Linked DNA regions of Neodiprion lecontei. The protein of the gene in region 1 purifies or fractionates together with the protein of each later gene. This does not show direct contact. Links are inferred from orthologs where the notes say so. Each region holds a gene or a part of one and is shown on either strand. Other genes may lie near its edges. The genes, in order: mitotic spindle assembly checkpoint protein MAD2A, anaphase-promoting complex subunit 1, E3 ubiquitin-protein ligase RNF8 and anaphase-promoting complex subunit 7.

Evidence for each region.
Region 2: the proteins of mitotic spindle assembly checkpoint protein MAD2A (region 1) and anaphase-promoting complex subunit 1 purify together in Homo sapiens (affinity purification with mass spectrometry; 3 studies listed by BioGRID and IntAct, with this or other methods). This does not show direct contact. The link is inferred for Neodiprion lecontei from reciprocal best matches to the Homo sapiens genes MAD2L1 and ANAPC1.
Region 3: the proteins of mitotic spindle assembly checkpoint protein MAD2A (region 1) and E3 ubiquitin-protein ligase RNF8 purify together in Homo sapiens (co-immunoprecipitation; 3 studies listed by BioGRID and IntAct, with this or other methods). This does not show direct contact. The link is inferred for Neodiprion lecontei from reciprocal best matches to the Homo sapiens genes MAD2L1 and RNF8.
Region 4: the proteins of mitotic spindle assembly checkpoint protein MAD2A (region 1) and anaphase-promoting complex subunit 7 purify together in Homo sapiens (affinity purification with mass spectrometry; 3 studies listed by BioGRID and IntAct, with this or other methods). This does not show direct contact. The link is inferred for Neodiprion lecontei from reciprocal best matches to the Homo sapiens genes MAD2L1 and ANAPC7.

The regions. Positions count from the first base shown.
Region 1 is NC_060260.1:24,019,875-24,023,420, forward strand, and holds mitotic spindle assembly checkpoint protein MAD2A, read right to left. Parts: upstream 1,671-3,546; 5' UTR 1,484-1,670; coding exon 1,411-1,483; intron 1,297-1,410; coding exon 731-1,296; 3' UTR 549-730; downstream 1-548. UniProt on the Homo sapiens protein: Component of the spindle-assembly checkpoint that prevents the onset of anaphase until all chromosomes are properly aligned at the metaphase plate.
Region 2 is NC_060265.1:30,811,858-30,816,700, forward strand, and holds the start of anaphase-promoting complex subunit 1, read right to left. Parts: upstream 3,014-4,843; coding exon 2,990-3,013; intron 2,675-2,989; coding exon 2,531-2,674; intron 2,440-2,530; coding exon 2,128-2,439; intron 2,047-2,127; coding exon 1,976-2,046; intron 1,913-1,975; coding exon 1,800-1,912; intron 1,497-1,799; coding exon 1,227-1,496; intron 1,136-1,226; coding exon 721-1,135; intron 451-720; coding exon 261-450; intron 157-260; coding exon 1-156. Other genes in the region: protein PBDC1, read left to right, coding at 3,429-3,449, 3,685-3,750, 3,860-3,919, 3,996-4,349; probable ATP-dependent RNA helicase DDX56, read right to left, coding at 4,638-4,843. UniProt on the Homo sapiens protein: Component of the anaphase promoting complex/cyclosome (APC/C), a cell cycle-regulated E3 ubiquitin ligase that controls progression through mitosis and the G1 phase of the cell cycle.
Region 3 is NC_060262.1:38,840,262-38,848,254, forward strand, and holds the start of E3 ubiquitin-protein ligase RNF8, read left to right. Parts: upstream 1-1,963; 5' UTR 1,964-2,473; coding exon 2,474-2,590; intron 2,591-2,947; coding exon 2,948-3,818; intron 3,819-4,173; coding exon 4,174-4,611; intron 4,612-5,022; coding exon 5,023-5,149; coding exon of another isoform or gene 5,150-5,157; intron 5,158-6,122; coding exon 6,123-6,232; intron 6,233-6,506; coding exon 6,507-6,614; intron 6,615-6,696; coding exon 6,697-6,804; intron 6,805-7,084; coding exon 7,085-7,260; 3' UTR 7,261-7,993. Other genes in the region: ral GTPase-activating protein subunit beta, read right to left, coding at 1-11, 394-814, 997-1,068. UniProt on the Homo sapiens protein: E3 ubiquitin-protein ligase that plays a key role in DNA damage signaling via 2 distinct roles: by mediating the 'Lys-63'-linked ubiquitination of histones H2A and H2AX and promoting the recruitment of DNA repair proteins at double-strand breaks (DSBs) sites, and by catalyzing 'Lys-48'-linked ubiquitination to remove target proteins from DNA damage sites.
Region 4 is NC_060262.1:35,033,249-35,038,232, reverse strand, and holds anaphase-promoting complex subunit 7, read right to left. Parts: upstream 3,343-4,984; 5' UTR 3,269-3,342; coding exon 3,200-3,268; intron 3,071-3,199; coding exon 2,744-3,070; intron 2,668-2,743; coding exon 2,258-2,667; intron 2,177-2,257; coding exon 1,762-2,176; intron 1,672-1,761; coding exon 1,397-1,671; intron 1,310-1,396; coding exon 1,087-1,309; 3' UTR 545-1,086; downstream 1-544. Other genes in the region: coiled-coil domain-containing protein 174, read left to right, coding at 1-211. UniProt on the Homo sapiens protein: Component of the anaphase promoting complex/cyclosome (APC/C), a cell cycle-regulated E3 ubiquitin ligase that controls progression through mitosis and the G1 phase of the cell cycle.

The DNA.
Region 1 (3,546 bases):
ATTCGCATACGAAATGAAGTTATATCGAGTTACTCAATTTTTTGGTGCTGTACACTTTAACAGAATTCATAAACTTTTAATTCAGATCATGTTTCAATGTTTCCCGAATTTATCATCGACTTTGTTGTCAGAGTGAATCATTTGGAACAATTCTTTATACCTTGTTCGATGGATCGAAGATGGTTACGAATGATTTCAAGTGATTTCCACAAACTGCGCACAATGAATATCAGGAATATGAGTAGTGATTATGCAGCCAAAACTATCTCGTTAAAAGTGTGATATAAAAAAAGGAGAGTAGCGACCGTGAGTCTTATTGGCAAGACTGATCTACACAACGAAGTAGCTAAACAAAAATACAAATAAGTCTTAAAATAATGAATTGATTAGGAAATCGTGAATGTACATCAACTTCAGTATGCTGTGATCTGTGCCTAATCAGTAGAAATTCAGAACATCCAAAACCAGTGTCTTCTAGCTCTTTGAAATAAATACTACATCAGGAATTCCGTGAGGTTAGGTATGAAAAGAGGAGAGAGAAAAGTAAATGAGAGTATATAAAAACATTTATTTGAAAAATTATTGTTGTCCTTAATCAATCAAGGAGACCATTACAGTCTAATACAAAATATGATGCAATTGAAAGAGTATAATTACAATTGAATGAATATGAAGAATAAAAATTACAATAATAAGCACTTGTGTACGAAAGCGTACTGTATCATTGGTATCAATCGTTTTTATAGCTAACTATGGTCTGCATCTTATGAATGGATGTAGAGAAAGTCCTGAGTTGCACTTCCTGGCTGTTGGCGATAAATACTGGCTGGGTTTCATCCCATTCGGTGGGTATATTACAATCAGGAACTGTGTATGTCAGTATATCAAAGGAGCAGAGACAATCGAGTAGCGGCAAAAAACTGACTGTTCCTGTTATCTGACGTATCACTTCGCGGATCTCTTTTTGAATGGTCTTCGTATCCTTTGTACCAACTTCTGAGTGGTTTATATTTTTGTTGCCGGTGGCGGTGCCATTTGGAGTTGATCCTTCGTAATCAACTTTGAAATCCCATTTCTCAAGTACCTCTTTAGTGTTTACATTAGTTATGACAAGCGTTACCTTTTGTACTTTCTTTTGTAGTAACCATTCTTCGATTTGACCGAGGACAGTGTTTAAGAAAGATTTTATCTTTTCATCCGTAGAGACAAGGATTGACAAACCAAAATGTTCCGCCGGTTCGAATGTTTCCGGTGGATATATACCCCGCTGATAAAGTATACTGTTGATCCCGAAATCTGTAATAATGCAACGATTCCGAGTCGTTATAATACGGTTCAACAGTAAATGAAATCCAAAACAAAGAGCTGGAAAGTGACAGTTTTTGTTAAAAGATGAGTTCAGATACTCACGCAAGTATTCAGCGACTAACTCCGCGGAACCCTTTAGAGTAATACATTTCGATTTTTGTTGCGTTTCTGTCATTATGAGAGACGGGCCCAATCACCGTCGCAGCCGACAATAATAAAACTAGCTACTGCAAGCCTCCACACATCAGCCGAATTAACCAAACAATACTTTCATGAGGTTAGAAACAATCACGGGTAGCTTTTCAAATGCACCAATCGTAGCTCATGAGGCAACTTCGAACCCCTCACCGTTCCTGTCAGCCAATCGCAACACCCAACCTTTGGTATCCATAGCGTACAAGGTACAAGACGGCAGACTCTCTACATGATTAATGTCGATCAAGCCACGGATCCGTTGACTGAAGAATGTAATGACGGATACCCCTGGGTAAAATTTGGTGACCAGTTTTCGGCGGGCAAATGGGCGCAGGTAGGCCTGGGAGCGTAGGAGGGTTCTGCTCTATCGACTCTACCCAACGGGCTCGCACCGACATTCGTAACAGCCGAAGTAGTGTCGGTATGGCAGCATGAGATTGAGTCGGTACAAAGTGAGTACGCAAGACTACTTGTCGACTGCGACTTAAAAATGTCGATCGGCTCGATCATCCCCGTGAGAAGACGCGAAACCGCGTCCGCCGACAACTACCATACAACCACCGAGCACCACCAATGACCGTCAACCACCTTCTCCCACCTCCGACCACCTTCGTGCTCCTTGTCCACCTCGACGCCGTCCTCCTCCTCCGCACCACGGCGCGTCGTCCGCGTCTTCGTCGTCTTTCACGACAACCGCCGATCACTTCCAACCACCTCCAAACACTTCCTACCATCTCCGTCCACCTCGTACCACCCCCTGCCGCCACTTACCACTTCCGGCAACAACCGACCACCTACTATTATCCCCGACCACCTTCTACCAACCCCTACCACCACCTACCTGCGCCTACCACCGGCTACCATTTCCGAACATCCCTAACCACCTTCGTCCTCCTGGTCCTCCTGCTCCACCATGTATTCCATAATATTAATATTCATAATTATTCCGACAACTTTTCATATGATCTTTCGGTCTTGAATTTTCGTAGGCATGGAATCGAAACGCTGTATTAGCTAGTCGCAAGTGAAATACCTACGTTGGGTAGAGAAGCAGAATTGTTTTTCAAAAAGTGAACATATGGGAAAAAATTCAGAGTAAGTGTAATACATCATGGATGCGCTAATTTTGATCGATATGAAATGGATGCTCCGTATATGAGACAGTATTTAACGCTGCGTAGTGATTTAAAGACCTAGAAAGGTGATAGGGAGAGAAAGAACGACGCTTCTTAACACTTCGAGTGTATTTTAACACACATTTGAAAGATACGAGCGAAATTTTTCATCATCCAACTGTCGCAGAACGGCAGCGTTATTAGCCGACCCGTTCACTGAAGAATACATCTTCAGTCAACGGCTGACGATCGAAGGGCCTGGCCGCTTGAGTCTGGAATCGGCAGGAGAGATAAAGTGCGTATTTCTTGTATGAAATGTGAAAGCTAAAATCATTATACATCATATCATATCATCATACATCATACATCATACATCATACATCATACATCATACATCGTACATCATACATCATCATACATAGTATCAAAGTTCGAAACCATAGTTTGGATGTCGGATGTTCAGAAAGTGACGTCACCAATTCAAAATCAGCTAGCCGAATTCCTCAGTCGGGAAACAACCGCGCAGTAGAGCGGACGGATGAGAGTCGCGCTCCGCAAATTTCGAGTACCGGGTTCTCAACCTCCCGGATCCCGCGCTTCGGGTCCGCTACGTATTTGGAGTACCGGGTTCTCAACCTTCCGGATCCCGCGCTTCGGGTCCGCTACGCGGTAAAACTCGGCTTCCAGGATAAGCGCTCCGTGGCTCCTCGTTCATGTTTACAATAAATTATTTCAATTCGTTTTTCGCGCAAGCCCAAATTCAGTAGCTGTCAGTCCGCTAATAAAATTTCTCGACTTCCAGGATAAGCGCTCCGTGGTTCCTGGTTCATGTTTACAATAAATTATTTCAATTCGTTTCTCGCGCAAGCCCATATTCAGTAGCTGTCAGTCCGCTAATAAAATTTCTCGACTTCCAGGATAAGCGCTC
Region 2 (4,843 bases), on another chromosome or scaffold:
AGAGCTACCAAGTTTTTGGGCAAAATTTGGAAGATAGTAGTTCGAACTTGACAGAGGAGACAAAACTCCAGCAATATGAACCTTGCCTACGCAGGTCACTCCGGAATAAAGTGCGACTCCGTTGGACAAATCTACCGTCACAATCATGTGAAGTTTCTGAAAAATCATAGGTACAAAACAAATTATACCAAATATAAATTTGTGCTGACATGGAGAAAAATATGGAATTGTTTTGAATTAATCATATTCATTAATCTCACCGGCAAACTGACAGCATCTTTTGCAACTATACTGGTAACCATTCCGAAAATAATTTGTTGCTGTTTGTTTGACTTCTCAAGTCGTACCAAAAACAGTTGAGATCTATTCGGTACTAAATATCCCAAATAACTTTGACCGACAAGATCCGATGTCAATAAAACCTTCGATGCAGGTCCAGATATGACATCCCTTAAATTAAAGCGGAGTAAGATATGCTTGTTACTTCTCTTAACATCATAATCACTGAGATCATTATTTTTTTTCAGGGTGGATACATTTGCTTCTAAATTCCAAACTATGGCCAAAACAAAGTTAATACAGAAACTCACTTCTGATTGAAGGTCCAAAGGAACTGCAAGCACAGGTAAGACCTAGATGGGATATCGGGAAAAATAGGAGGATTGGTAGGAGAGCAGGGGGTTCGACACTTGATACAAGATCTTGAACACTAATACTCACTTTGAAACTCCAACATTTTCTGTCCATACGTGATCCAGGCAAAGTTCAGGATACAGAGGCCTACTAGGACTGGCCATGGGATCTTGAAGATGCAAGCTACTGCAAGGACTACTCGGACTATTCGGCGACTGCCCCAAAATCGTTGCCATCACTGTGTGATGTAATCTAGTTTGATGAGCTATAGAGCTGCTAGGGCCTCCCAATAACGGAGAGAAAGTCGTGGGAGATTCAGATCTTGAAATAGCAGCCATCGGACTCTGAGATCTTGAATGTTGCTGCTGCGAAGGCGATGCCCCGCTGACAGAGCCTGTCGTATATGACGCCGCACGAGATGCAAAAGGGCTTGTGGCTGCTACTCCGCCACCCGCCAAACTAATACCCATACCAATACCACTTGATTGCAAGTTAGGAATACCTGTTTGGGAGTGGTAGAAAAGGCACAAAACAAGACATTTTTAAGGATGATATTGACATTTTCAATATTTCATATAAACCAATGAACTCACCAAAAATACTGACGTGAGCTTTGCTAGTAGAGCTTCTGTTGGTAGAAAGATTGCTACCGATATTAAGAGGTGAGCCAGTTGCAGAGTGATTTAAAATAATACTAGGTGTAGTGTCATTGCCACAAACGACATGACACTCGTCAGACGAAGCCTTACGGATTTTATAAACTGAATGTAGGCCAGTACGGGTATCATAGACAACAGCTAGCGATGGTTCAGAACTTGTAAACACTATTTTCTGATGCGAATCGCACATATACGAGAGACTACCTGCAAAAATTAAAATTTAATTTATAATATTAACAGTAAGTGTATACTGAAACTAGTTACGAAGTTGAAATTAGTAACGTTGACGTAACGAAACATTGGGAAAAATTACTACGCTGCAATTTCAAAATGACTCTAAAGTAATTGTATTTTCGAAAAATAAGAATGGTTTGCTTTATTACGGTTTATTGTATTTGGAGACAATTCTAAAATTGAGGAATATTACGATATTTCCCAGACTGCGTAGTTCGAATAACATTACTAACTTCGGATTAACTATCAGTTCCATATTTATTTAATATTCACCGTGCTTCAGCAGCAGAGGACAAATTTCGTCCAACGGATGCTTGAGAGAAAATGCTGTGGGTAATTGGTTTTCATTTTGCGCCGCCAGTTTGCTCGCTTCCAAAGAGGCATACCTAAGTAAATGTAACAGCATGTACTGTTGTTGACTTAATTTGCATAGCTACGAGTATAATTACCTCGACACTGTGGTAGGAGCTGGGAACTTTTCCAACAAAATTCCAAACTTCGTAGCCCAAACTGATGATACCTAAATCAATTGATGAAATCGAAATATTTTACATTTTCACATGATAAATTTTTCCAAACAGATCGAAGATTGTCTACCCACTTGAAATTGTAAGCTTGATACATAGTCTTCTCCAGTTTCAGTGAAAACCTTCAGGTTATATGAATCCAGGAGACAAATACACTCAATGGGGCTCCCGCTAGGCTCATTAAAGTCAGGTTGATTAGGAACATTTTCTGGTGTAGTCGAGTGAAACACACACCAAAGAGCATGCTTTATGTCACTGTCACACGAGTATGAAGTTTGAAGCGACCTCGTAGACCCGCTGCCTTTAGAGTGAACGGCAATTTTTCCTGAGCAGTACAATTCCTCTTCGCCGTAAGTTTTGTTTTGTCTAACAGACCAGAATTCTTGCTGTAATTGAATGTTTCGTTAATTGTTTCAAATAAGAGAGTATAATTTTAACTTTATTTCCCAATTCCTTCAAAAATACTCAACGGCTTACAGGCGTTTTTTCTGATATATTCACTTGACTGAGCCTCTGTAAAATGAAACTCTCTCCTGGCGCAGTTTGATTGCTGGCCAATTGCTGGGCAACGACAGAACCTGGATGCCGCAAGATCGTCTGTCGTCCTCCTGGGACATATTCCTTGAAACATGATAAGGAATTTATTTATTTGAAATTAGTTAGCAAGTACAATAAAGTATTCAGTTTAAAACGCCGTGAACGAAATCGTACGATACGGAATTTGCTACGAACATGGCAGAAAACGAAATCGTGAAATATTTGTAAAAACACAAATAATTTTTTGCATAATTTTCAAGTTGGATCGACTAAGATACAGAATGGACCTGAAACGTATTATAGCTCACATCACGTTCAAAGTTTTTGCAATATACGACCGGCAAAGATAACCCAACCTAACATAACATAACCTAAAAGAAACAAACTGAGTAAACTTACCAGCGGATCGGAAGCGGCGATCATTTTCTCCCCGATTTCATCCAGATTTGCTAAGTTTGTTTATTATTTTATCGTAAACACTAGTAGCTGTCACAAAATTTATTTTTAGCACGTTATCAGTGTACGTGTTAGGGGGAAGAATAATAATAATCGGTTTACTCTAACGATGGTTTACTATAAGAAAGGTTTTTGAACTGTCAGTTTATGTAAAGTGTCAGGTCTCGAACTCGTGCATCGCGTGATATTTTCTTTCTTAGAAAATTACAGTCACAAAATTGATGAATAAAACTCAATCAATCTTGTTTGTATGATTGTAGAAAAATTTGGAAAGAGATTTCAGTTGAATTAAACAAATTTTATCCGTTCGAAGCAACGCTCCCAAACTTGACTCTCGACGTATATACGATATAATTATAATAACAATAACATTCGCGCAAACATGGCACATGTGGGTGATGTGGTAAGTAAAATAATGACGCTCAGATACGTTCTATAGAATTTTATCGTCAGATCACAACCAAAATGTAGTCTGATTTTAATTTCCCTGAAAAAAATATCATTCTGCAAGCCTTTGCAACGATTTACAATACCTGAAAACCTATTGTACAAAGCATAACCTATATTTGATATTCTCACTGTTTTACGTACCCATTTCAAAGAAACACTAATCATCAATAATTTACCCTACGATACAGACAGCTGATCAATTGATAGCAGGAAGCAGCGTTCTGTCCAGGCCTGCCGAGGAGTTTGACAATGACGTAAGCCAAAAATAATTCATTCAAACTCAATTACCAGACTCCTAAAGTGTCCTATGTTTCTCAGATTTTCTAAACTGACCAATTTTAATCCGTCCAAAAATTATTCCAGCCATCAGTGGAGGCAATGTGGGCAATCAAGGCGTATGAGCACGCAGAGATATACTTTAACGTTGGTAACAGAATTTTTTCATCCGAAATATCTATGCACATTTTTCTCCAGCTTATAAACACTGTTTCATTTCCAGATATTATGTTCGGTGGATCCTAAGCTCCTAAGACTGACACCGCACGATGATTTGATCTACAAATCATTCAGAGAATCGTTTCCAGACTTTAAAGTAGACAAGATTAACGAGGATGAGCTTAAGTCGCCCGAAGGAAAAGCAAAGTGGAGGCCGTTTTGCGAACAATTCAAGGAGGTTGTAGAAGACTACAGTTTCGGCACCCTGGTAAGGGCGGATTGTGATGGAGAATATTCTGAACAAAACAGCATACTAACATCCAGAATCCAATTCTATGCTATTGAGTTGGCAAGAAACAGGGAAGGTCTGAATGACAATATCAGAGGGAAGTACAAGCCCAGAACGGCCCCTAAGTAGTAATATTCCAATACTTTCACTTCACAAAACCGAGGTCGGCTGATTTATTTTTGCAACTATGCATTTAGCAAATCTCATTATTTACTTAATACTTGCAAAGCTACTAATTTTATGGTCCGCTAATATGTAATAAATCTTAAGAAAATATTTACAGTAAAAAAAAAAGCAGCATCGCCTAATTTTCTCCGATCAATTCCGTTTTTGTATTTCAAAATATAATAACCATATAGTATCGTTATAGTCTTATATTCTTAACAGTTCGTAATTTTTTCACTCAATTCCATTGGTTTACTTTTTTCGCGGTATGCTGAGACTGATTAATGGATTCGAAGCTCTGGCTAAGTGTTTTGATTTGCTAGCACTCGACCCAGTTGCTGCAACTTCCCTGTCAAATTTTCGTTTTCTTTTCCCTATTCCTGCTATCCTCTTCAGCGTCTGGGGCACTATGTACTCTGGAACATCTTTCAAATGGGGCTGCTGCCTCACCGTGTGCA
Region 3 (7,993 bases), on another chromosome or scaffold:
AAATGGCCAGACTATGGACAAGAAATATAGAAAAAATTGGTTAGTCTATTGATAAGGGTTACGTAAGACAATAAACAATTGGTACAGTTTTGTCAAAGGAACAAAAATAGTCGCAAAATTACTCAAACTGAGCCTTAAAAGTTATTTTGTTCCCATTGTAAGTTGATACAAAATAACTTCAACTAACTAACTAATAGAACTTTAAAACAGACAAATGATTCTAAAACTGTGCTTAGATTATTTTCTAAAAGACTTATATGTTGTAATTATAAATTAATTATTATTAAACTGATCAGTAATATTGTATTAACTTGAAAGACATTCTTGTTATTACAATCTCACCAACTGAACTAACAACAAAAACAACAAAAAACAGTGTTAAACATATCTTACCTTCTCCCTTTCTTGGTACAAATAAATTATGGAAGTGGCTGATTATTTTACGTGCATAAAAATTTGGGTCCTCGACAATGGGTCTTGGTACAGAAATTTTTGGCGATGAATACAGAGCAGATAGCCATTCGCAATAGACATTAACACAGTCTCTGACAGTATCATGCTCCGCCAATGGCAACGAAAGTCCGAAGCAAATGACTTCCATACACCACTGAACTTCTCGATCCGTAGTCAACGGGCTGTGCTCAGCTGCCTGTGTTATGCCAAGATTAGTAGCTAGCTGACGAACGATCGAGAGCGCTACTTCTCGTCCAGCTACAGGGTGGAATTTTTTTAAAACGCTCTGGCTGTCCTCTGAGCCATTCTGAACCAGTGTGCTCAGGGAGGCCCATTCTGAATACATTCCTCCTCCAGAATCCTGTGCAGAGGTAAGGTTACGATATGAAAATAAAAACATGGTTATTAAACTCTGAAACGCATATATGCGATGTCGTGATATTTAATTTTCTACGAGAATATCGTTCGGCCGTAATTTCTCCATTGTTAAAAGACATCATTAACCTTTCGTTTGCTATCTCCGACGATTATTTAATAATTTACCGAGATCGAGTTTCTTGGCCCAGTCATTATTGAGGTTATACATGCAACTTTGACAAGTGTCGGGCTTTGCATCAACGATAGCCTACGTGTCAAACGTAATATCGAATGCTGGACTGTGAGGCGTATAAGTTACCTTGAGATTAACCCTGTTGAATACGCCTAAATTCATAGATTACCATGCGCAAGTATGACGTACGATTGGAAAGGAATAATTAATTAACTTCCTACTCTGACCTGTCAAACTCAGCCAGAAAACTTCGAATATAGCTCGTGTAGCTGAAAAGCTGGTAGTAGCAACGCAAACCTAATCCGAAATCCATCCACCTAGCGGTAATTTGGCAAAAGTAACTCTGCGCGCAATGCGCATGCGCACTAGCTGATTTGCTTCATGGGTATTAACAAAACTACGAGCCTAGAATAGAAACAAACTACGAGTGTGGGCGAGTTATCAAAGATAGGTGTAAATGATGAAACAGATTTTTGGTCATACAAATTTAATCCGAACAATCAACTCTTTGTAATGAAAAAAATGAGAAAACCTGTGGACGTCCAATAAATAAATGAACCAAACAAATCTGATCATTAATCATTTTAAGTGAACTACGCATAAGACTCTGGGTTGAGAACCAGTATTTGAGAACACAATTTTGGCTTTCTTGTTACATTAGCTTTATTCAAGGGAGGACGGGTAACTGAATGATTGGTACACCTGGATGTATCACGGATAATGAGTTATCGTTTATTGAAGAGTTCAGAGGTAAGTATCACGCGGTTCTTTTTGCCACCGCTCTGGCTGAGTGTAACAGGTCTTGCTTTCTTGGGCGCGCGCGCGTGGTGAGTTCTCGAACGATCATTCGTCGCAGAGACGGAACGTCAGCGTCTGCTTACGCTGCCGCTTACGATCTGGGGCGCTGCTCTCAGCTCTGACGACGGGCGAACCTGGTCGTTGTCCAGAGGTCGCCACACAATAAACTTCCGCTGGTTGCGCATTGCCAGAAATTTGCTGCAGGTGCATTGACAAAGATAAACAACGGTATTTTAAGTTTGATGCATAACTTCAAGTACATTAAATCATAACGGTGTATTTATCGATTCAAAGTGGGATAAGTGAAATATCAGTGAGGGTTCAGAATTGCGTTAATTCGAAATACTACTGATAATACAAAAGATTTAATTCGCTGTGATGAAAGGTTATCGTTTCGGCGATAAAAAAAAGAGAGAGTGAAATTTTTCACTTCCTATGCTGCACGAGCTGCTTTTGTTTACATGAGTTTAGCTTCGGTAATAGGATAGTGTTTTGCAGGTTTTGAAGCAAGTTCCCTGAGCGATTCTTCGTTCCCAAAACAAAGCACGCAATGTTATAACATGAATTAACCGATGTTGATGTGATATTCGGCGTGTTTTTGATAATTAACGCAAGATCGGCTGCGGTCGCCATCAAGTTTTTGAAAATTGTCAAGAACATTCATCAACCACGATGGAAGAACAGGAAAGTCATAGTTCGAAAAGAAACATGTCTGATAGTCTGGAGGCCGTGCTTGTCAACGTTGAAAATACCGATCCCAGTAGTTTCATTCACATTGACAAAAATGAGGTATTACAGTTGGAATAACATTACTCACACTATAAACTTCACCAGCTTCTTATTGGTGTCAGGAGTTTCATGCACGAATTTTACCATGTTCTATCAAACACTCACTCACAAAAGATTTCCTCATCTTTGAGCCGAGCAGTTAGCTTTAATATATTTCAGTTCAGTTCTATTTCAATCATTGCATGTCATAGAACCCGTGTTCTATTTTTCATAGGTTAACAAATTGCCGAGTATATATATTCTTTTTTATATATATGATTTTACCACCAAATTATATCCTTTTTGTATACATTATACAGTTACGACAGAATCGATAGCATGATTTATACATCATGAGCATTTCCCATTTTCTCGCAGTTTAAAATAGGTAGAGGACGATCGAACGACGAGATACTGGCTAATATTTCGATATCAAGGCAGCATTGTATTATCAAACGCTCAGACGTTGGCGAATGGACGATACAGGATTTCAGTACGACTGGTACTTTTGTCAATGGGAATCAGTTGGCACCAGGAGAAATACGGACGATTAAAATAAATGATTCTGTACGGTTTGGTCCGATGTCTGAATTTTTGTACAAAGTGCAACTACTCTCTAAGAGTGAGCCGCTCACCAAGAAGGCGAAGATGTCTGTGCCAGAGATGGATTTACAAGATATTGTTATGAAGCAAAAGACTTTTGAAGAATCGCAGCAAATGGAAAGGGATAATCTTGCGGAACAAATGAAAGCCAAACACAACGAGCAACTGGAGTTGAAAAATGAACTGCAAAAGTTGTTGAACGAAAGAGAAGCGGCAAAGGGAGTGAAGGATCATTTAAACAATCAGATCAACATGCTGGAAAAAAATATAGAGGAAGTCAAACAGGCCGAAATGAATCTTGAGAAACTGAATCGAGAGTTGTCGGAACGATTAGATAAGGAGAGGCAAGAGTTTGAGACAAAATTGAACGAGGAGAAAAAGAAGCTGGAAGAAGCCTTGGAGATTAGTAGGAAAGAAAAAGAGATGTTGGTCAATAATATGAAAGAACAGTTGGAGAAACTGAAAAATGAACAACAGATTGAGTGCAAAAAGCTAACCGAGTCACTCAGCGAAGAAAAGAAAACTGCTGAAAAATTACAGAGTGAAAAGGTTGAAATCGAACAAAAACTTAAGGAGACGGAAGATGCTTTACTCAAGATAGAATCAAAAGCCAATGAACTTCAAACTACTCTTGAAAAACAAAATGGTAATTTTATCTACTGTGGAAAGTATAGTTGAGTGGGTACGATGGGTAAAATAGATTAAAGTCATTTCTTCATCTCAAATCTGGAGTAAATGACTAATATTGAAAAAATCGTGAATAGCCACTTCAGTTTTGCATAATTTTTCTTGTCCTATTCTAATGAGGTAATGTTGTTTTTTACGTGAACGCAAATTTCGCATCTACACATATTATAGTTGATTTTTTTTTTTTTCTCTCAAAGTTATTAAGAATAAAAATTGTATCCTTTTTAAGTTTATTATGAAATTGTGGCAGTGTTAATCTGAAAAAAAAAATCAAATGTTTCTTGTTATATAATTTAGTCATGATTATTTTTCAGCAGAGTCAGCTGCAAAAGTTGTCGCCCTCGGTACTGTGGCAGAAAACGTTGAAATTATTGATGAGTCACATCTGACGATTCTAGATACGATAGATTTGACTAAAGAAACACCTACGAAGAAAGCTGCTCCACCGAGCAGCACAGTGTCAGCTAATGAAGACGTCTTCAACAAAGTTGGCGATATCATGGATGAACAGTTGACATGTAGTATTTGTTCAGAACTATTCGTAAAAGCAACAACACTGAATTGTACTCACACATTTTGTCAGTACTGCATAGATACTTGGGAGAAGAAAAAGAAAGAATGTCCGGTGTGCAGAACGGCAATAATTGCCATGAATCGATCTTTGGTTTTAGACAATTTCATTGACAAAATGGTGGAAAACTTGTCAGTGGAATATAAGAAACGAAGGACAGATATTGTTGAAGAACGGAGAGGTAAACTCGGCCTTCCTCTATCTGTTGTAAAATCTAACGCCTACCAGTTTTGCACTGTATTATAATTTGTAAAATTGTTTTTAGTATAAATTACATACCTTTTTTTCCAAAACGGTGGGTTTTATTGATTCTATTAGGTATTATTGACTTTAAGTAAAGGAAAATTAGTTACAACCATCTGACAGTGAATGTCGGTGGAACGATTAGTATTTCCAAATCGTATGCTATGATTGATTTATGATAGTGTATCCATCATACGAAATCTGTTGAAATTTTATACCACAATAAACTGGTAGGTGGTGTAATTAATTGTACTAATCTTATTTATATAGAATACGATACATCAGAAGTCGAAATCAAGATGCCATATATCCTACATTTTTCTCACAGCTTTAAACTAATATTTTTCAGAATATGAAAGGGCAGCAAAGCAACCGGCGAATCAAGCACGTGGAAAGAAAGGTCGAGGCCGAGGTAGGGGAGGAAACGCGAATACAAATACTAATCGTACTGGAAATACTTCTACAGCAGCGACTAGGTCAGTAGGTCAGTGTGTAAATTCATCACAATAGATACTGACATGAGCTTTTAATTCGAATCGCATTACTACGTAGGGCGATGTATACATGTACCGTTTATTCATTCACATTGAGTAGAGTAGAAATTTCTGGTGAATTTTTCAAATCGACATATACTTGTATTACCCATCTCAATTTAAAAAGACGCCATCTACTGAAATGTTGAAATATGTAACCAACCCATGAAAAATAACCACCTTGCGTTTGAGGAGTTCGAAACTTGTATTCATGATTAGTTTCCTTTATTTTTACGTATAATCGAAATGTGCGCCAGCCTCTTGGTGCTTTACTTTTTTCGTGAAAACAATTTAATATTCCTGATGCTTTTTTTAATTTATTTTTTAATGGAATTTTCATTGCATGTATAATATACACACTCAAAATCTTTTATATTGTACTTCTTACTAAATATGGCTTCCCTTTGTCAATAATTAGTTAAAAAATTAATTATCGTTATGACAGTCTCGTGTACTTTAGATTGAGATTTTCACATGTTTCGACATGGCTTTGTTAATGTTATCTACATCCTGAAGTTGATTTTACTTGTTGAAAAATGTTTACATGTAAACAAGAATGATAGTTACCATATTATTCAAGTTTGTAAGCAACTTTCGTCTGATTTGGCCAAGTTATTTCTCCTTATTAGAATTAACATATCTAATTGTGTGCCTGTTTAAGAATATGTTCGAACTTATTATTGTTTTTATATGAACGTGAGACTGTACGTGGTTTAGTAACATTTCCTGTTACCTAAGTTTCACCAGCAATACATCTATGACAATATTAAAAGGTTTTCATAATCGATATACTGTATTTTTCGAATTAGACCCTCGGGACAAAAAAGAGATTTTATTCAAAGATAAACCGCATAACTGTATGAAAATTGAATCATATAACTATGAAAATATCAAGCGATTAAAATTTATCTGACAGTCGGACAGCCGGTAACAATCACATCCCAGGCAGGACAAGCGGTAGCAATCCGGATTGGAACAATGCCTCAGGGTCAAGCGGTCAACATCGCCAACAACGCTCAAGTAGTGGTAGGTGTAAAAAGAAAGGACCTCATTACCCTGCAGAAATTGTGTTGTGCTGTTCCATTCTATTCTAGGAAGTAGTCTTACCATTCGTTGATGAGTACTGAAGAGCTTTCTTGGAATGTACATATGTGTTATGGTATATTCAATGATTGGTACAAGATGTGTACCAAAATGTGGTTTCAGTAAGATGAACTAAAAATGGGGTTGATTTTTGATAGTATTTGAGAAAACACAATATACGTTATTTATCAGTCACTTCAATTTATATTTATTTCAGGTGGTACCACAAATCATGAACAGACACCCGCATCCACCCAGGGTTCAGGTAATACAACCCAACAGACCAACGATGATGATGACGGTTCAACGTGGAGCACGTCGACAGGTATATACAATTTTCTATCTTTATTGACCTGGCAAATGAATGGCACACAAATACCAATTTTTTTGGATTGTGTTTGCAACAGACGGCGACGGTGAGGATACCAACTCCCTCTCATCCGTCTACTCCTATAGTCAGACCTCTGAGGATCCGGAGAGCCACTCCGGAAACATGGACATCTCAATCGACTCAGGTATGTCCGATCCTGTGTATAGTATGTGTTTTCGAACTGAAGGATTTAAGGCTGAACCGTTCATGATTAAAGTATTGGAATGAATTTTTAAAGGATGAGTCAGTAATGACTCATTCACTATTGAAATTTACGGTTTTGAACATTAATTTGCATATTTTTTCGGCAAATAATTAAAAAGATGATTAAAAGGGTGTATTGCCATTTAGAAATTTTTTTTATGCGATACTTGCAAGGCGATTAAGGTCTCTTTCATGAATCTTTTCTCAATGTCTGACTTCAGATGGCCACAGCAGCGACGATAGCTGGTCGGGAATAGTCGATGGATATGAGGATTATTGGAGCGAACCACAGGACGACTATATAGAAGGTCGAATTGGTGCCCTTTACGGTGGATATGGTAGTTGCTATTCCTGCGGAAACAGGGGGCATTGGGCTCCGGGATGTCCATTCACATGATTTTGTGAGATTGACAAGTGACTGAACATATTCTAGAAACGATTTTGAGGTGTATGCAATATTTATCATTTTCAATCCACTCGATTGAGTAAAATTTCGTTGCTTCGTTGAGTGACTTATGGACCAGATTTATTTGGGTCATTTACGAATAGCATTATTATTATTATTGTCATTAAATTTTGATGATAATATTAGTTGAGCACTTACTGCCGAAAATTATACGCAGTTATTTAAATCTCATCAATCTCGTTCATCCCGCGATATTCCATATTCAGTGTATCAGCTATAACCGAAAGTACTCGGAAACTTTCGAAAAGCCATATTAATAATTTGAATGATATCTATTTTCTAAGTTCAGACATCCCCGGATATTGATTAACGTTATCGAAATTATTCTGTTACAGTAAGTTCGTCAGTAGTGTTGTCATTATTTACGTATAGGGTTGATAACAATTTTGGAAGGTGAAATATTCCCGAAAACTTATAAACGTTATCATATTTAATTTTGAAAGATTTTGCAGAAGAAAATCGTGCTCATAAGAAAAAAAATTAAAATTCAGCACACTGGTTGTACAAGGCTTTGAGATGATTACTTTTCATTTCTTGGATTGCAGCAGCATTATAACTTCACTGTACATTTTACAGTGAATGAATACAAAACTTACTGCTGGAGAAATGAAATTAAATTGAAAAATAATTACTTGTATACAAATATTACTTTTAAGAACTTTGC
Region 4 (4,984 bases), on another chromosome or scaffold:
GAATCGCGATTGTTTACCTATGGAATATCATCTACCGGATTCTACATTGTTGAGCTCAATAACTGGCGTGGATTCAAGTAAACGATCAGCTGACACCAGCATGTCGGATAATATTGATAGTCAAGAACCACAGCATATCTTAAACGAAGACAAGATTACTGCTGGGCTTAAATATTTACGAGCAAATTTTGAAAAGCAAAAGCACAGCTGATCGACTAAAATATTTAAGAATATCAAGTCAACTAATTTTAGATAATAGACATGTTTTATGTCGAATGACATAGTTGTAAATATTTTTTCGATGCACACTTTCTTCATTAATTATTATTTACTTGTAAAATTGTTACTTATTTATACGAAAGATCTGAAATAATTTTGTTATGAAAGTTTCATTAGGCATACTGTGTGGGAAATACATAATTAACGATTCTATTTTTTGTACTTCTTACTCAATTACCTACATTACTAGTTCTTTACGAGTAGACTTTGGTTATTAAAATGTTTTCAATGGGAGACAGAAATTCTATATGGTAACCAAACTACGTACTCATATTTTTTAATTTATTCTTATTTGTGGTACACACAAAACTGAATAAATTTTTTGCTTATTCTGTACTAAGAAAACAACATCGAAAAATTAGCTAATAAAGTAAGAATTTCTCTTTCTATAAACATGATTGATGCGTTCTCATTAGAACATAAACATAGAGAAACATGGTGCTTCCCAGAATTGCGTAATTCTTTCTTGCATGATCGAAGTACTCATTTGTCAATTGTACTACATATAGGAGAAAGGAACTCGTCATTTTGTCTACTCCATAAACAGTTTCGTACATTTACAAAAAATGCACGCATTATTATGATTTAAAGAATATCGTCAGTCACAGTTGAAATTCAACAGTCTTTGCAGAAGTATGGAACAAAAATTTCCGAGGAGTACTGTGATGCGGGATGACAATTTCTCTGATAAAGAACTCATAATTTCATTGTTATATAATATCAGAGGAAAATCATTGCCGCAAAAATGAGAAATGCTCATTATTTTCAGTTACAAACTACTTTCAATCACTCTGGTTGTAAGTTACCCTATTGACTATTCGCTTCCAGATCCATGTCAGACCAAACTGCTTCTGTTTCACTTTCGTCAGCTCCCTCGTCATTGTCTGTATCTGGCAAACCATCTCCAACATCATAAGTTGTATCTGCATGTTCGTCACCTACAGTCATATAATAAGTCGATTCCAGTTTCGTTGAAGTACTGTCTAACCGATGCAGCCCTTCCAGAGCCCGTCGATTACATGGATCTAAACTGTAAACAAATGGGATAAAATGAATTGGTTAGTAACAGTACAGATAAAAATATCAGCACACTGTGAAACTAAAACTGCATCCCTACTTCAAGGCGATGGCGTAATGATCCAATGCTTTTTCTTGATTGTGAATTCTAGCCCACAAATCGCCAAGCATCTGATGAAATTTAGAGGTAGGTAATATTTCTACTTGTCTCTCAAGTAATTCAATAGCAGCTTCTAAGTTCATCTCCTGTTCGTATATTTCAGCCAACAAATAAACAGCCGGCAAAAATGACTCTTCTTGACTCAATGCTTTTTCCAACAAGTTTTTCGCTTTGCCAACTGATACAGGGTCCTTCATCAAAACCGACGAATAAAGCTGCAACATAATATTTTTACATAAGTCATCGTGTCAAATCTCAAAAACTGTTGTTTAAACATACAGTTTAGTATTTTACTAATGGCGTACCGTCAGAGCCCGAGGCGTGTGTCCCAGTAATTTACAACCTGTACTGGCGATATTCAATGCTTCCCTAAGTCTATGCATTCCAACATAACAATCAACGAGTCCTTTGTGTGGTTCGTATCTATGTGGTTTGAGTAGAGCAGCTTTCCTAAAATGGTGCAATGCCTCTTGATATTTTTTTTGGTCGATAAGAATATTTCCCCATAATATAATTGCTTCGATACTATAGGGGCTCAGGTTTATCGCTTGTACAATCAGGGTACTTGCTCTACTGAATTTTCGCGCAGCGTACAAAGCATAAGCCATAGCTATATACTGTTCAGCTGTGTATTCGGAAGTCTGTGTTATAGCTGGGATTAATTTCTCAAGCTCCTTGGTGTTTTGCGTCTTGTACAACACAGCGGCATATATGTCAAGGCTAAAAAAGTAACAAAATAAAACAGATCAGGCTTATCATTGAACACATATCATTTGAATCCAGAAACGAATTTTTACAAACCCTTTCGTCAAATCAGGTTCTATAGTTCTGGCCCGTCGCAAACACGTCAAGGCATTTTTATCGTCACCAGCAAAATAGTAACATTCACCCATTGTTATTAACAAGGTAACATTGTCTCTAAAGTAATTGGCATTATCGAGTGACCTGAATGCTGTGATTGCATGACTGTATTCACGATTGTGAATATGTGCGTGTCCTTTGATCCAGATGTTCAACCACTCCAGACTTGGTGAATTGGTTATAGAGTTAACAATCATGGAATTTACTTCGATCCCTTTTACACCCAGAGCAAGGAGTCCTTCCACTGCGTTAAGAGCCAATGGACATTCTCGTAAAACTTCCTTGTATGTCGTAATTGCTGATCTTTCCATTCCTTGTTCTTGGAACATTTTTGCCAGAGCCATATTCACCTAAAAATTTATTTTCCGAACATAAATAATAGATGGCAAAAAAGTTTTCTACTTTCAAGGATGAAGAAGTTCTTACTTTTGCGGATCTTTGCTTGCCAGGTATTCCCTGAAGAACTTGTAAGGCTTCTTGGGTATTTTTGAGCTTGACCAAGCACAAATGTATTTGATATTTAATGTCTATGTCCGACATGAGTTCTTTCTGTCCATCAGGCGGCGGTTTAGTAGCACCTTTAGATTTCAAAAGGCATTTACGAAACTGCAAGGACTTCTTGTACAGCGATTCAGCCTTCCGGTACTTGGAAAGATGAAAGTACGAATCAGCACAATGGACATACGTTAAGAATTTTGCCTGCGGTGGAAGAAGCTCGCTGTTGTGATCGCTTAGCGATAAAATGAAATTTGCCTAGAAATAGAAGAGCTGAACGTTATCCTCATGCATTTCTCTTACACTGGCAAATTCTTTCTCGCCATCAATTTTCTGCATTATAGGTTAGTTTCAACAAATCAACATTAAGTCACAGCTCGTACTCACTAGAGCGATCACATTTGAATACAGCTCTTGATCGTACAACATTTTTATCTGCTCGTATAAACTCGACATTTTTACAGATCTATATAAATACTACTTTGACAGCGGACGGCTTGTGTCCTCTTATTCACCCACCCACATTTACAAATTCATATACTTATGCACGCCTAAAGCACCCGTCAAACATTGGCGACATCTGTTGACTAGCGCGAGATTTGAATGGCTGGTTTCTTCGACAAATCTAATTCTAGCTTGATTCTAGCATTTTAATGTTGGAAATGCAATAAACGCCGTTAATATCGTTCATCAAAACTTCTTACAAACTTATGACGTTGGCTGTTGACAAAAACAATAAAAGCACATCCAGCAGTTAGTATATAAAATATGTCACATCTTTTTACATAAAACCTAAATACTGTGCGGCTAAACTCGTTGGGCTATAGATTATTTACAAGTTTATTGTACGCTCTGTAATGATCGATAAAACTTTTATATCGTGACCTTCACGAGTAACATTGCCCTACATTCCTGCTCGATCCATAAGAAATTACTCTGCGACGGGTCACATACTGTACTTAAACTATAACTCAAGTTTTCACATCCGGTAGTATTATTTTAATAATATGGTTTATTGCGTACGCTGAATATACGGGAATGTTATACATATTTTGCGCAACTGCCGAAATCAGATATTATATACATATGTATCTATAGCAGATGACATCGCTGATACAGACTGAATCAGGTGTTCTCACAATCAGACAGACATAGGTGAACAATGTGAACATAGATCCCCGCAGCATATCATTCATATATCCGTATATCATTACTGATTAGATAAGCGTTAATTTTCATGTACGATGAGTCGTTGCACCTCGGGTAATTTTTAAAAAATACGTACATTACAAAGTATAGCGTACCAAACAATTTACAATTTTACTGCAACGGACGAATGGAATCAAATAAAATATCTTACCACTTGTAAATAATAGTAATTGAATCGTGTATCGGTAATCCGCACGCGGCATTTTTCAAACCATAATGAAAATTGTGATAGAAAAAAAAAAAAGACTCCAATCTTATCGCAATCCTATGTGCATGATATTTGTATGTCGCGATATATGGCTTATTGGGTCATAATGAGATGTCTTTCCCATACCTAGATGGCGATAAAAAATAGTACGGTGATTGGTGTGCAGAGTGGATGCCATGAATTTCACAGCACAATCAAGGACACGTAGTGCGTTATCCTTTCACTTTCAAGGAAGCCGAGATTTGGCATAGTTTCAGTCTACCGCAGGCAACGAGCGGTGTAACAGGTGGGCTTAATTACTTTTTACATAAAGCTCCTCCGGATTATGTTCGAGTCTCGAATAAATACGAAGTGTTATTCTCTTACTAAAATCCGCTATAATCTTATAAATTGAAAATTATCAACACCGCATGCGTCACTTCGTGTCTCAAGTAAACGAAAACCATAGGGAAAGTAAGTTGGAATATGTGCATACATAAATCGTGATATAATTATATCGAACGACTAATGGATATAAGTGTATGTATTTGTTTTTTTTTTCTTTTGTTATTCGGCCAATAAAATATTCAATAGAATATATTATTCCATGGCAAGTAAACCGAATTTCCAGTATCGTTGCGAATGTCATTTGTAAATAAAGGATTATATCAGAATCACGCCGATGTAGATCAAGCTGATCACCTTGCCATAATAATAATATAATATACGAATACCACGAATACTTTCACGGGAAAAGCTCTGACCTCTGAATATCT